3 linked regions of the Mus musculus genome follow. The protein of the gene in region 1 interacts with the protein of each later gene in a pairwise test. Links are inferred from orthologs where the notes say so. Each region holds a gene or a part of one and is shown on either strand. Other genes may lie near its edges.

What was found.
Region 2: the proteins of Exoc2 (region 1) and Ralb interact in a two-hybrid assay, tested with the Homo sapiens proteins (2 studies listed by BioGRID). The link is inferred for Mus musculus from reciprocal best matches to the Homo sapiens genes EXOC2 and RALB.
Region 3: the proteins of Exoc2 (region 1) and Exoc1 interact in binary tests that used the Homo sapiens proteins (3 or more experiments, as listed by UniProt). The link is inferred for Mus musculus from reciprocal best matches to the Homo sapiens genes EXOC2 and EXOC1.

Annotation. Positions count from the first base shown.
Region 1 is NC_000079.6:30,971,338-30,975,087, reverse strand, and holds the start of Exoc2 (exocyst complex component 2), read left to right. Parts: upstream 1-1,040; 5' UTR 1,041-1,092; intron 1,093-3,750. UniProt on the Homo sapiens protein: Component of the exocyst complex involved in the docking of exocytic vesicles with fusion sites on the plasma membrane.
Region 2 is NC_000067.6:119,502,408-119,506,157, forward strand, and holds the start of Ralb (ras-related protein Ral-B), read right to left. Parts: upstream 2,376-3,750; 5' UTR 2,170-2,375; intron 1,854-2,169; exon of another isoform or gene 1,791-1,853; intron 1-1,790. UniProt on the Homo sapiens protein: Multifunctional GTPase involved in a variety of cellular processes including gene expression, cell migration, cell proliferation, oncogenic transformation and membrane trafficking.
Region 3 is NC_000071.6:76,528,117-76,531,866, forward strand, and holds the start of Exoc1 (exocyst complex component 1), read left to right. Parts: upstream 1-1,194; 5' UTR 1,195-1,346; intron 1,347-3,750.

The sequences.
Region 1 (3,750 bases):
CATAAGGTATGCTTCACAGAAAGATATCTGAAAAAAAAATAGCTTAGGCCAGTGGCTCTTAACCCCCCTGGGGGAATGATCTTCACGCAGGGGTTGTTTAAGACCATCGGAAAACAGATATTTACATTGCCTTCATAACAGTAGTAAAATTACAGCTATGAAGTAGCAACATAATAATTTTATGGTTGGGGGTCACCACGATATGGGGAACTGTATTAAAGGGTCTCAGCATTAGAAAGGTTAGGCTGTTATTGGTCTTAGATAATGGGCACCCCGTAGCTACTTCTCTCCACAGTCATGGCAACACAACCACAGGTAGACCCTATGCTTCTGCCATTATCCTCTGCTGAAGATCACTGTCCTTCGTTCCTGCTACAGAGGAAGCCACAGGGATATGTCTGCTTCAGTTCAGCTGGCCATCTCCAGAGTCCACAGGAGGGTACCTTCAAACCTTAGGGCTTATGGGCTGTAGATAGCAGTCGTTTCTATAATATGGGGGTCTTGTGAGTTTGCAAATCAATTTGCCACTCAGACCCTTGGGACCCCAAAGCTCTGACCTGTGAGAAATCTTAATAAGGCGGGCACTCCTGGCTAGATGCAGTCCTTTGACTGAGGTTTGCCTCTTGACCTGGTGCTGATCCCTGACCGCTGTGGACTCTTGGGCAACATCTACTGTGACTCTAACCGACTGTATCCTCTTTACCCCTCCCCTCTTTTTCCTCCCCGAATTCCACCCTTCCACTTTCTCCCTCTCCTCCTTTCTGCTTCCCTCCTTCTTTTCTCCCTTTCCCATCAATTCCTCTTCTCCTTTCCACCTCTCCACCCTTCTCTCCTCCTCCCTCCCCACTTTCCCTTTCTTCCCTCTCTGTCCACTTCCATGCCGTCGATATCCTCTAACTTCCCTTCTCCATAGTCTGGTCCTCCTTCTATTCCTTCCCCTCTGGGAAGAGGCGGTCCATCCAGCACTCGGTGCTCGGCTAGGCGGCGGATCGACGCGCTCGGCGCTCGCGGCGTGCGGAAGTGCGGCCCTAGTGCTGGCTGCGGCGGCCTGGAACCGGTTGGCTGGGACCTGACACCGCCTGCAAGCTGCAGGTGAGTGTCGCGTCCTGGGTGAGGACGCCCCGGGTCCGGAGTGGAATTCCGCGGTGGCACGGGACCGTCGGGGCTGGGCGACCTGGGGAGGCGCGGTGAGGGACCCGGGGCGCGGGGCTGAGTGTGGGAGCCGCGGGCCGAGCCTTCCCCACCCGCCTCCGCGCAGGCCGCCGGGCTGGACCCGGAGGAGCGGCTGGTGTGCAGGGTCTGCTTGGAATCTGTTTAAGTCCCCCGCGCTAACGTGGACGGGAAGCTTGAATGGTTTCCTTTACTACTCTGGGAGCAGCAAGTGCGGGTTCAGCCACACCTCCATTCGGCCATTTGAATGCCTTACACTAAAAACACTAATGGCAACTGGTTATCTCTCTACTAACTTTGTTTATAAAGCTTAGCTTGTGATGGCCCAGGCTTGGTAACAGATTCCCCCAATGGCAAGGAACTGAAAGTCAAAACAAGAATGATCTAAGTGTGAACAATTTGTGATTCGAAAGGTGACAGAAAGACGCTGATGTGTGCTTGCCTCTTACATGTTCTCTTTTGTTTGACACAGTAGACAGTATTTTTAAGCAGGGGAACCTCTGTTTGTTGGAAACAATTTTTGGAGTTATTAGAAAGTAGTCCTTTTTTTTTCTTTTTCAATTATTTAATTTACTGTACCAGACATTTTGAACTATTACCTTCCAAAAGGTGATACCTTGAAGATTACATTCAAAACATTTGTAAAGGCTGTATTCTAGTATGGGGCTTCTTCAACTTTTGCCACCAAAAATTTATAAAGAATTTCCATGGTTTTATATGTAAGTTTATAAAATAGGTAGACAATCTATGTATTCACTATCTGTAAATCACAAAGCTTTTTATTTTAGGACAATTTTTGTATACATCAAACTTACCATTTATTAAAGATGAAAGCATAGAGTTGGATAACTCGGTTCTTTTCACATACATAGTTAAGTCTTGGTTTAATATTTGTAACTACGGGACACTGAGCATCTTCAGGGCTTTCCAGAGCTGATTGATTATTTTAATTTTCTAATCATCGGTAGGAAGAGCAGTTCTACATACAAATACATAGTACACAGTGGTAGAAGGACAGTTAGAAACATTTTGGAGATTGTTGCAAATTTGTCCTTACTCCCAAGCCGAATCCATTGGTGATCTTTTAGAACTTCAAATCAGCAACGTAAAAACCAGTTTTTCAGATTAAAATTCGGACACAACACGATTTAAAGACCCAATCACTTGGTGATTACATGCTGAAGAATGCCAGTAGGGAAATGTGAATAGTCTTTGTTTTCTGTAATAAAACCATTTTTCTCCTTTAAGAACAGAACATTTTGTTTGTGTGTGTGTATATACGTATATACATATGCATAATATATACATATATACACATACATATATACATATATGAATACACACATATATGTATACACACATATATGTATGTGTGTATATATGTATATATTTGTTTGTATGTATGTATGTATATATGTAGTGTGTTAGTTTTTTCAGTGTTGTAACCAAGTACCTGCTAAGCAGTTTAAGGGAAGAAGGTCTCACTCCAGTTTATAGATTGGAGTTATATAGCCTATGCTAGTGAGGCTGCCTCATAGTGGCAGGACTGTGCCCTGGGACCCCTCAGGAACAGGAAGCAGATAGAAGTCAGGATGTGGGGCTGGGCTCTGAAACCTCAAGTCCCCACCCCCTAGTGACTCACTTTCACAACAAGGCTCTTCATCTGTAAGCTTTCATAACTGCCTAAAACAGTGTTAGGAGGTTCTGAGCCTATAGGAGATATTTTCTATTCAAATCGTAACATACAGTGAAAACAACTGCTATTTGTAACATATAGTACTTTGACGCTGAGTTGTAGGGTTTGGGTTGAATACTCTTGGGTACTTCATGACATGGCAACGTGCACAGAGAGAAAGTTCAGAACCAAGGCTGGGATGAAGTTGGATTGAGTACTGCTGGTAACACCTTTGATTCACTATGGATTTCATTTTTTAATTCATTTTTGATCCCATGTGTTTAGAAGACTTTCATTTCGCTTTTTCTTTTTTTTCCTCTCTCTGCATTCAGTTCCACAACCCTGTATAACCTACAGGATTGCCACTCACAGTTTAAGAATCTGTATTCTGGTAAAAGACTTGGTACCAAATAGAATCTCTAAGTGTATAGCTACAGCAGGATCTTACCACGTAGGAAACACTAGGGATAAACTTGTCTCTCAGTTATCTTTTCACACAGGCTGTGGTTTTACTCTTCTTTCTTTGAGAGGGTCTCACTATTGATTGATCACTATTCAGGTTGATCTTTTGTTTTTTTTTTTTTTTTTAAAGATTTATTTATTTATTATATGTAAGTACACTGTAGCTGTCTTCAGACACACCAGAAGAGGGAGTCAGATCTCATTACGGATGGTTGTGAGCCACCATGTGGTTGCTGGGATTTGAACTCAGGACCTTTTGGAAGAGCAGTCGGGTGCTCTTACCTGTTGAGCCATCTCACCAGCCCTCAGGTTGATCTGAACTCTTTGACTGAAGTGATCCTCATACCACAGTTTCCTCAGTGCTGAGACACATCACTATCTATGCCTGGCTTTTCTGTACTCAGTGTTAGCAGGCCCAGGTTCCTAGTAATGCCTACTACATA
Region 2 (3,750 bases), on another chromosome or scaffold:
TCTTCTGATGTGTCTGAAGACAGCTATAATATGTTCATATACATGAAATAAATAAATAAATCTTAAAAAAATAAAATAAAAAGACTCTGAGGAGGTCAGAATCAACAGAGCACCTACAGGGCCCACACCGCAGCTGGTTTCCCCTAACGTTAGTTTCCTGTGAGTGGGACAGACTTAAGACCCCACTTAAAAAGAAAGAGAAAAGCTCCCACGCCAAGAGAGTGCTTAGTGGAGAGAGGGGCTTGCCACACAAGCCTGACAACCAGTTTGGTTCTGAAAATTAAAAGAGGAAGGAAAAGAAAAACTCTACAAAGCATCCTCTGTCTGCCACATGTGTGCATAGCATGCGTGCGTGCGCGCGCGCACGCGCGCACACACACACACACACACACACACACACACACACACACACACCATAAGTAACCTGGTGGGGGCTGGGGAGACGGCTCAGCAATTAGGAGCATCTGCTACTCCTCCAGAGGCCTGCTTGGTTCCCAGGGCCCATGCAGGGCAGCTCACAACAGTTTGTAACTCCAGCTCCAGGGAATCCCAGCCACGCCCTCTTCTGGCTTCCAAGGGTTCCTGTCCCACACATATGCACACATAAAAATAAATCTAAAAAATACAAACATATATACAGATATTTGCATAGTCACATGTAAATAAAATTACAAGAATGCATACACATACACATATATACTCATACACTCATGCACACACACACACACATCACAGCTTCAGCAGGGGGGCATTTCATGGAATCCTAGAACCATGCCCACTCCCACACCTTAAACACTGCCTACTGGATTGGAAGCTGACAGTGGGGGTGGGCAGCCAACTCTTTCAGAGCTCAGAGAAGACAAAGGGCCTCCTCTAGACCACGGCACTAAGAAAATTCCAGAACCAGGCTGGGGATTTGGCTCTGCTGGTAGAGTTCTTGGGCATATAGGAAGCCCAGAGTTCCAGCCCCACCACTGCATGGACCAGGCATGGTAGAATACAGTTATCACAACACTCAAGGGGTAGAGGCAGGAACGTCACATGTTCAAGGTCACTCTAGCTATCTATCAAGTTCCAGGCCAGCCTGCGCTACAAAAGATCATGTCTCATACACACAAAGTTCCAAAACCAGGATCAACCTTGGCTCACACCTCCTTCTCAATATTCAGCACCTCCCTTTATGGCTCTCACAATTTCACCACCTCAATCCAGGCTTAAGCGGCGCCACTTTGACATGTTCTGAGACTTAACATGTAAGATTCTTGCTCTGATTAAAACTATCTTCACTTGGCACATCCAAAGCACACTCCCTGCCCCTCTGAGGATAAGCCTTGATCATTCAATAAACCCAAACTTAAGAAAGGTGGTTAGGAAATGAAAGCAGAGCCAGAGCGAGAGGATCTCTGTTCTTCAGGGATTGAAGGCAAGTGAGGGTAAGAACTATCAGTCCATTCCAGACCCTCTTCCAGAACACCCTGGTAACACCAATCCCTAGATTCCAGGATTCACTTGGAAATGAACTCTAGGAAAAAGGACCCTGCTGTGGGTGCCGCGCCCTCTGGGGACACTCAAGTCTGGGCCACAAGCAAGTCTGAGCCACGAGCTGACTTGGCTCAGAGAACCGGGTCAGGAAAACCCTTCAAGCCACGGTGCTTCTAAAAACCACCTTTGATGCTAGTCACACTCTGAAAGGCAACTGGAAGACAGAATCAAAAAGTAATTCACAACCAACAAATCCCTACAAACTTCTTGAACCCAGCTCCCAGGTCACCCAAAGTACAAGTTCCTACCTTTAAGAAAGAAGTTTGGGCAACATTTTATGGATCTGAAAGGGACGGAGGAAGTGGACCAACTCAGGAGGGAGGCCCGAAAAGGCAGGAAGTGGCCATTTGTGGAAAAAGGGAAGGACAGGCAGCAAGGGAAGAGAAACTGGGGCGCCTCCCCCATGTCCTCAGCACCCCCAGATCCGGCTGGGAGTCTCTCCGGCTTTCCCAAAAGACACCTTTCAAGCCAAGCGGGGCGCAGTCCGGGGCGTTGTCCTTCATGAGACGTGTCCCTCCCTCCCAACGTGGAACTAGGAGGCCTGCAATCGCGCGGAGAGCGTACTCACTTCCCTATCCTAGGGCGCACCCCTCGTCTGCGGTCCCCTGCGGGGCACAGCATCCTTACCTGGGGGAGCCGTCCCACCGCCGCTCTGGCTATGCGCACAACCAGAATCGCCGCTCTCACGAGCGCCCCGCCCCGTCCTGGGGCCGGACCCCAGCTGTCCCCAGTCGATTTGTCATTGAGGAGTGGTGAGCTCGCGCGTCCCCACCCCCCGGAGCGCGTTCCCGCTGTCCGCCCGGCAACCCTGTCCTCTCCAGAGGCAGCCCTCCCTTCCGTTCTCCGAGGCCACGCCTATTGACCAATCCGAAGAGGTACTTCCAAACCTTCACCAATGAGAAAACACATTGAGTGTGTGGGCGTGGCACCCACGGAACGGCCCCACCCATTCCCCCTTCCTTTCGGCTCCCCAGCCGGACTCGCGCACGTGACCGCTGCTGCAGTGGCAGAGCTTGGGAACTGGTCTGGGGACGCCGGGGCGTGGGCGGGTGCACTCCTGGGGAAGCCGGAGCCAGGCCAGAGTTGTGAAAAAGCCAAGAAAGACTGAGCTGATAGAAGCCAATGAGGAGGACTGTGTGGCCAAGTGTGGCCTGCGCCCTAGTGTGGAAGGTGATAAGCAGCTTTGAAGACCCTTGGTCAGGGACTGGAAACTCCAGGTGGCATCGCCTCTAGCTTCGCCCATGACACCCTACTAGTAAAGGAATTACAGCTATTAATTTGACCTAGGTCACAGGCCAGGTCAGGAACCCTAACCCTAGCTATAGCCAGCGGCAAGAACTACAAGCTGCAGGCTGCCCTTCATCACCCTCCTACGCTCAGGAGCTTATTTTCTTACGCGTTTTCGACTAGGGTTGATTTTCCCAGCTGAACATTAGCCACTTCTCACTGCCACAGTTGTGTGATACCCCACCCACCCGTACGAACTGGTGCTTTTCACTGTATGGTAATTAATAATTCAACGTTTGTTTCTGATCTTTAAGGAGGGAAACAGTGATAACCGTAGCCCGCACTGTGTAATTATTCTTGCTGATAATTCTAAACTAGGATACTTGTATATTATATCAGAGGCTTTTGTGCTTTGTTTAAATGGTTCCATACCAGCAACTAACAGACCTAGTCCTCCCACTGACAGCATAAGGAGAAGCCAAGTCTCCCTGGGCTAGCAGGTGGCTGGAGGGGTAAAGACACCCGCAGAGACAAGCCCCACAGCCTCAACAGACTTGGACCCCTGTAGACCCCTGGGAACCACATAATGGGAAGAGAAAACTGGCTCCCTCAAGTTGTCCTCTGATGTGCACTCCCTCTTCTCTCTCTCTCTCTCTCTCTCTCTCTCAACCTTCCTCCCTCTGCACACGCAAATTTAAAAGAAAGAAAAACTGCCAGGGCTCTTAAAAAAAAAGATTTATTTTATGTGCATGGGGGTTTCTTTCTCTTTTTGGGGGGTGGTGGTGGGAGGGGAGGGGTGGTCTTATTTTATTGTTTTTTGTTTTTTGTGTGAGACAGGGTTTCTCTGTGTGACTGCCCTGGCTGTCCTGGAATTCACTTTGTAGACCAGGCTGGCCTCAGACTCATAAAGATCTGCCTGTCTCTGCCTCCTAGTACTGGCATTGAAGGCATGCAACACCATGCCTGGCTATGTGCATGGTG
Region 3 (3,750 bases), on another chromosome or scaffold:
ACAACAAAAAATTCATCCTATGTGCCTAGTCCTGCAGTGACTTGATGTCACAGGGTGGGTTGGTATCCAAGAAGGTCTCCACCCCACCCCTTCTCAGAAGAGAAGGGAAGCAGAGAATGAGGGAGAGGCTGGGAAGGAGGGTGAGAATTGGAAGGAGGGGTAGGCTAAGATCCACATGCAAAGTAAATAAATAAATGGAAAAAAAACAGCAAAGAAAAAAAGAAGAAAGAAAACCATCCTGGTAGAGTATGTTATCCTAACTTCGCAATCACCTTTTCTAGTCCTACCTCATTGCGAACTCCTTCAGTATAAAAAAATTGAATGGCTTTTTTTAATTTTTATTTTTTAACCTGGAAATCAAAATTTGCAGCACTCAATCCCTGCCAGGGATGCGGCCTAAATGAATCACTTGTCTTATAGCTCGAACTCTCGGCATCATTTATGTTTCTCACACTGAAACAAGCAAGCATCACCTTTAAAACAAAGATTCTATTTCAGTATCTGATGTGAGGTGGCATGGGTGAAGTTTCTAAAAAAACACCCAAGAAGAAGGTCTGTGCAGTCAGGGTAGAGTATGAAGTGGGTAAATGACCAAAGCTGTTTATGGGAATTAAGTGTCCAGAACTTAAGGGTACTAGTGACATCTATCCCAGAGAATCTGACTTAACTCACTAAAGTTCTTCCAAGAATCTAGTTAGCAGGGTTTTACATATGCACAGGAGAGAACATTTAATGCGCTCTCAAATGAGTTGCTACAAATATTAGAATGGGTACGTCTACAAAAAGGAAACATCACCATTATCAACTCCTCAAATCAGCCTATGCTAACAGTTCTCAACATTCCTAATGCTGCAACCTTTTAATACCTTTCCTCATGTTGCAGTGGGTCCCAACTATTAAATTATTTAATTTCTACTTTAAAACTGTAATTTTGCTACTGTTATCAATTGTAATGCAAATATCTGATATATTGGATATCTGCTATATGACCACTATGAAGGAAGGGGTCGTTTGACCCGCAGGTTGAGAATCACTGGCCTATGTGCTTGCAAGCCCCGCCCCTGTCTTTTCCACGCCCACAGTCCGCCTCTGCCCCATCCATCAAAGCGCTGTTCCGCCTCCTCCAAGTCCATTGGCCAATCTGTTTTTCCTCTACTGTCTCCATTTCCGGCTCCACAGGGTCAACTTCCGGTGCAGAGAGACACGTGACCGGATACGGGAAGTGGCGGGTTCTGGCCGCTGCTTTTCCCTGTTCAATGAAAAGTGCTTCAAAGCTGCTATTGCTGCCGGCGCCCTTCCTGAGTCCGTCTTGGAGCACCAACCTCGGCCGGCCGGCTGGCCTCGCGGTAAGCTTCCGGCCGGGGACCTGCGGTCTTGGAGGTGGTAGCCTAAGTGGAGGCAGTGTTGCATCCGCGCCGGGTCGGCCACTCCCCAGTGACCCGGCCCACCCACCCTGCTCCACTTCGGGGCTGCAGAACCCGGGCTGCGTCCTTCCTTAGCCGGTGCTGTCCGGGGCTCTGGGAAAAGGCGGAGCCGGGAGGCAGCCAAGTCTCTGTCCACAGTTCCGCCCATCCGGGACAGATTTCATTTTTGTCCTACTAGCGTGGCCTGGAAGAGAAAGACGTGACCTGGGCTTCTGCTGGTCCGAATCAATATAACATGTCCTTATAAATCTTCTAAGTGCATTGCCCAGCCTCTGAACAGTTTTTTTTTCTGGATGACATGTCTCCGAGTTGAGATGTCACTGCAGTACATGGGCCCAACCCACTAAGGCACTAGCATGGACACACAGTGTAACGATGGCCCTATTAAGCTGAAGGAAGTATGTATGTACACAATGAACCGAGGTTAGCTGCCTCTGTAACGGGCAGCCTTGAGGTTTTAGAAGGCGAAGATCTAAAGAGAACCCAGAATATGGGCGTGGTTTTTAGACCTGGGAAATAGTTGTGAAGGCCACTATTAATAATACTGGCATAATGTAAAGTTCAGTATAAACACTGGAGAATTCATCTCTAGATCCAAAGAAGACTGACTATCACAATGCTACGTCAACCCGTTCATGTCTTAAAGATTCTCCATTATACCCCAGAGTGCTGCCTGGCACTTAGTGAATAGCAATATTTATATTAGCAATATAATATAGCAATATAGTAGCAATGCTTATGTCTAATTCCTTCATGAGTTATGACCAGCCCTCTGCTGTTTTTACCGTTTACCATGTACTATGGTGAATATTGGCCATTGCTAATGGTTCTTTTGGCCAGCTTTTACTATTGCAATCAAGCAGGTTACGCCAAGAGCTTGTTAGTGAGTACCCAACACACAAACCTGTGATAGAGCACCCCTCCTCCTCCTACTACTCAAGAGATGGCTGTGGAGATCTAGGAGATGACACTCATGTCCCCATTAGATAGCAAGCATTTGCCTCGTAAATACAGTAAGGGCTCTATACATTTACATGAAAAGAGCCGTGTGGATTGAGACTTTCATTGAGTCAACTAAATACAAATGGAGAAATGTAGGTTTGAATAAGGAAAAGATAGTGGTATGCCCTGCATGGGAAAGTGCTTAAGCAAAGAAAGAACAGAGTGTTCTGAGTGCAAGGCATGTCTTGAGAAAGCTGGGTTGCTGTTGACCAGGTGTGTGGTAGAATGAGAACTGCTTTAAAGTTATTTACTAGTTTTTCAGGGAACTTGTAGAAGCCTAAAGAAAAAAGAAAGAGATAACGGGTGCTATTACTTAAAGGCAGTAAGTCTTGGTGGCTGTGTTGGCAGCAAGTTGTGGGGGAGAGGGATAGGATATGTAGATGAAGAAGTTACAGGATATGCTCACAGATTTCACGTTGGCATGGAGGAAGCAATCAATTACAGTAGAGTTTGAATCTGGGTATTCTCTTACAGATGCGAAAGTTGGAAAGAGGTAACTCTGAGGGAGCGATCCCTGGTCTGTTATTGAGTGGGACAGTATTCCCTAAAATGTTTACTGAGTGTGCACTGTGTGCCTCTCGGCAAATGCTAGGAATATAAAGATGGATAAGATAAGGTTCTTGCCAACAGAGAACTACTTTTCGGAGTAGTAGAGGCTAGACGGCGCTAGCTATAAAACACAGGTTGGAAGAGCTGTAGTCAGCAGAGGTAAGATGGGGACAGAAGAGGAGTTTTTCTAGGAGAGAAGGCTTCAAAGAAGAGGCAGTGTGTTATCAGAATCCTTGAGGGCAAGTTGGAATTTGCAGTGACAAGAATTTGAGAAAAAGGGAAACAGTGAACAAAGCCCAGAGACAGTTTCCATAGCGTAAGATGGAGTAGAGCTTTAATGTCACATCCGGGCCCTAGGACATATTAAGGGGCATTGTACTGGCTGGGTTTGGGTGTCATCTTGACACAGGCTGGAGTTATCACAGAGAAAGGAGCTTCAGTTGGGGAAATGCCTCCGTGAGATCCAGCTGTAAGGCATTTTCTCAATTAGTGATCAAGGATGGGAGGGCCCATTGTGGGTGGTGCCATCCCTGGGCTGGTAGTCTTGGGTTCTATAAGAAGGTAAGCTAAGCAAGCCAGTAAGTAACATCCCTCCATGGCCTCTGCATCAGCTCCTGCTTCCGGACTTGCTTGAGTTCCAGTCCTGACTTCCTTTCGTGATCAACAGCAATTTGGAAGTATAAGCTGAATAAACCCTTTCCTCCCCAACTTGCTTCTTTGTCTGATGTTTGTGCAGGAAGAGAACCCCTGAGTAATACAGGCGTGCTGGCTAGTT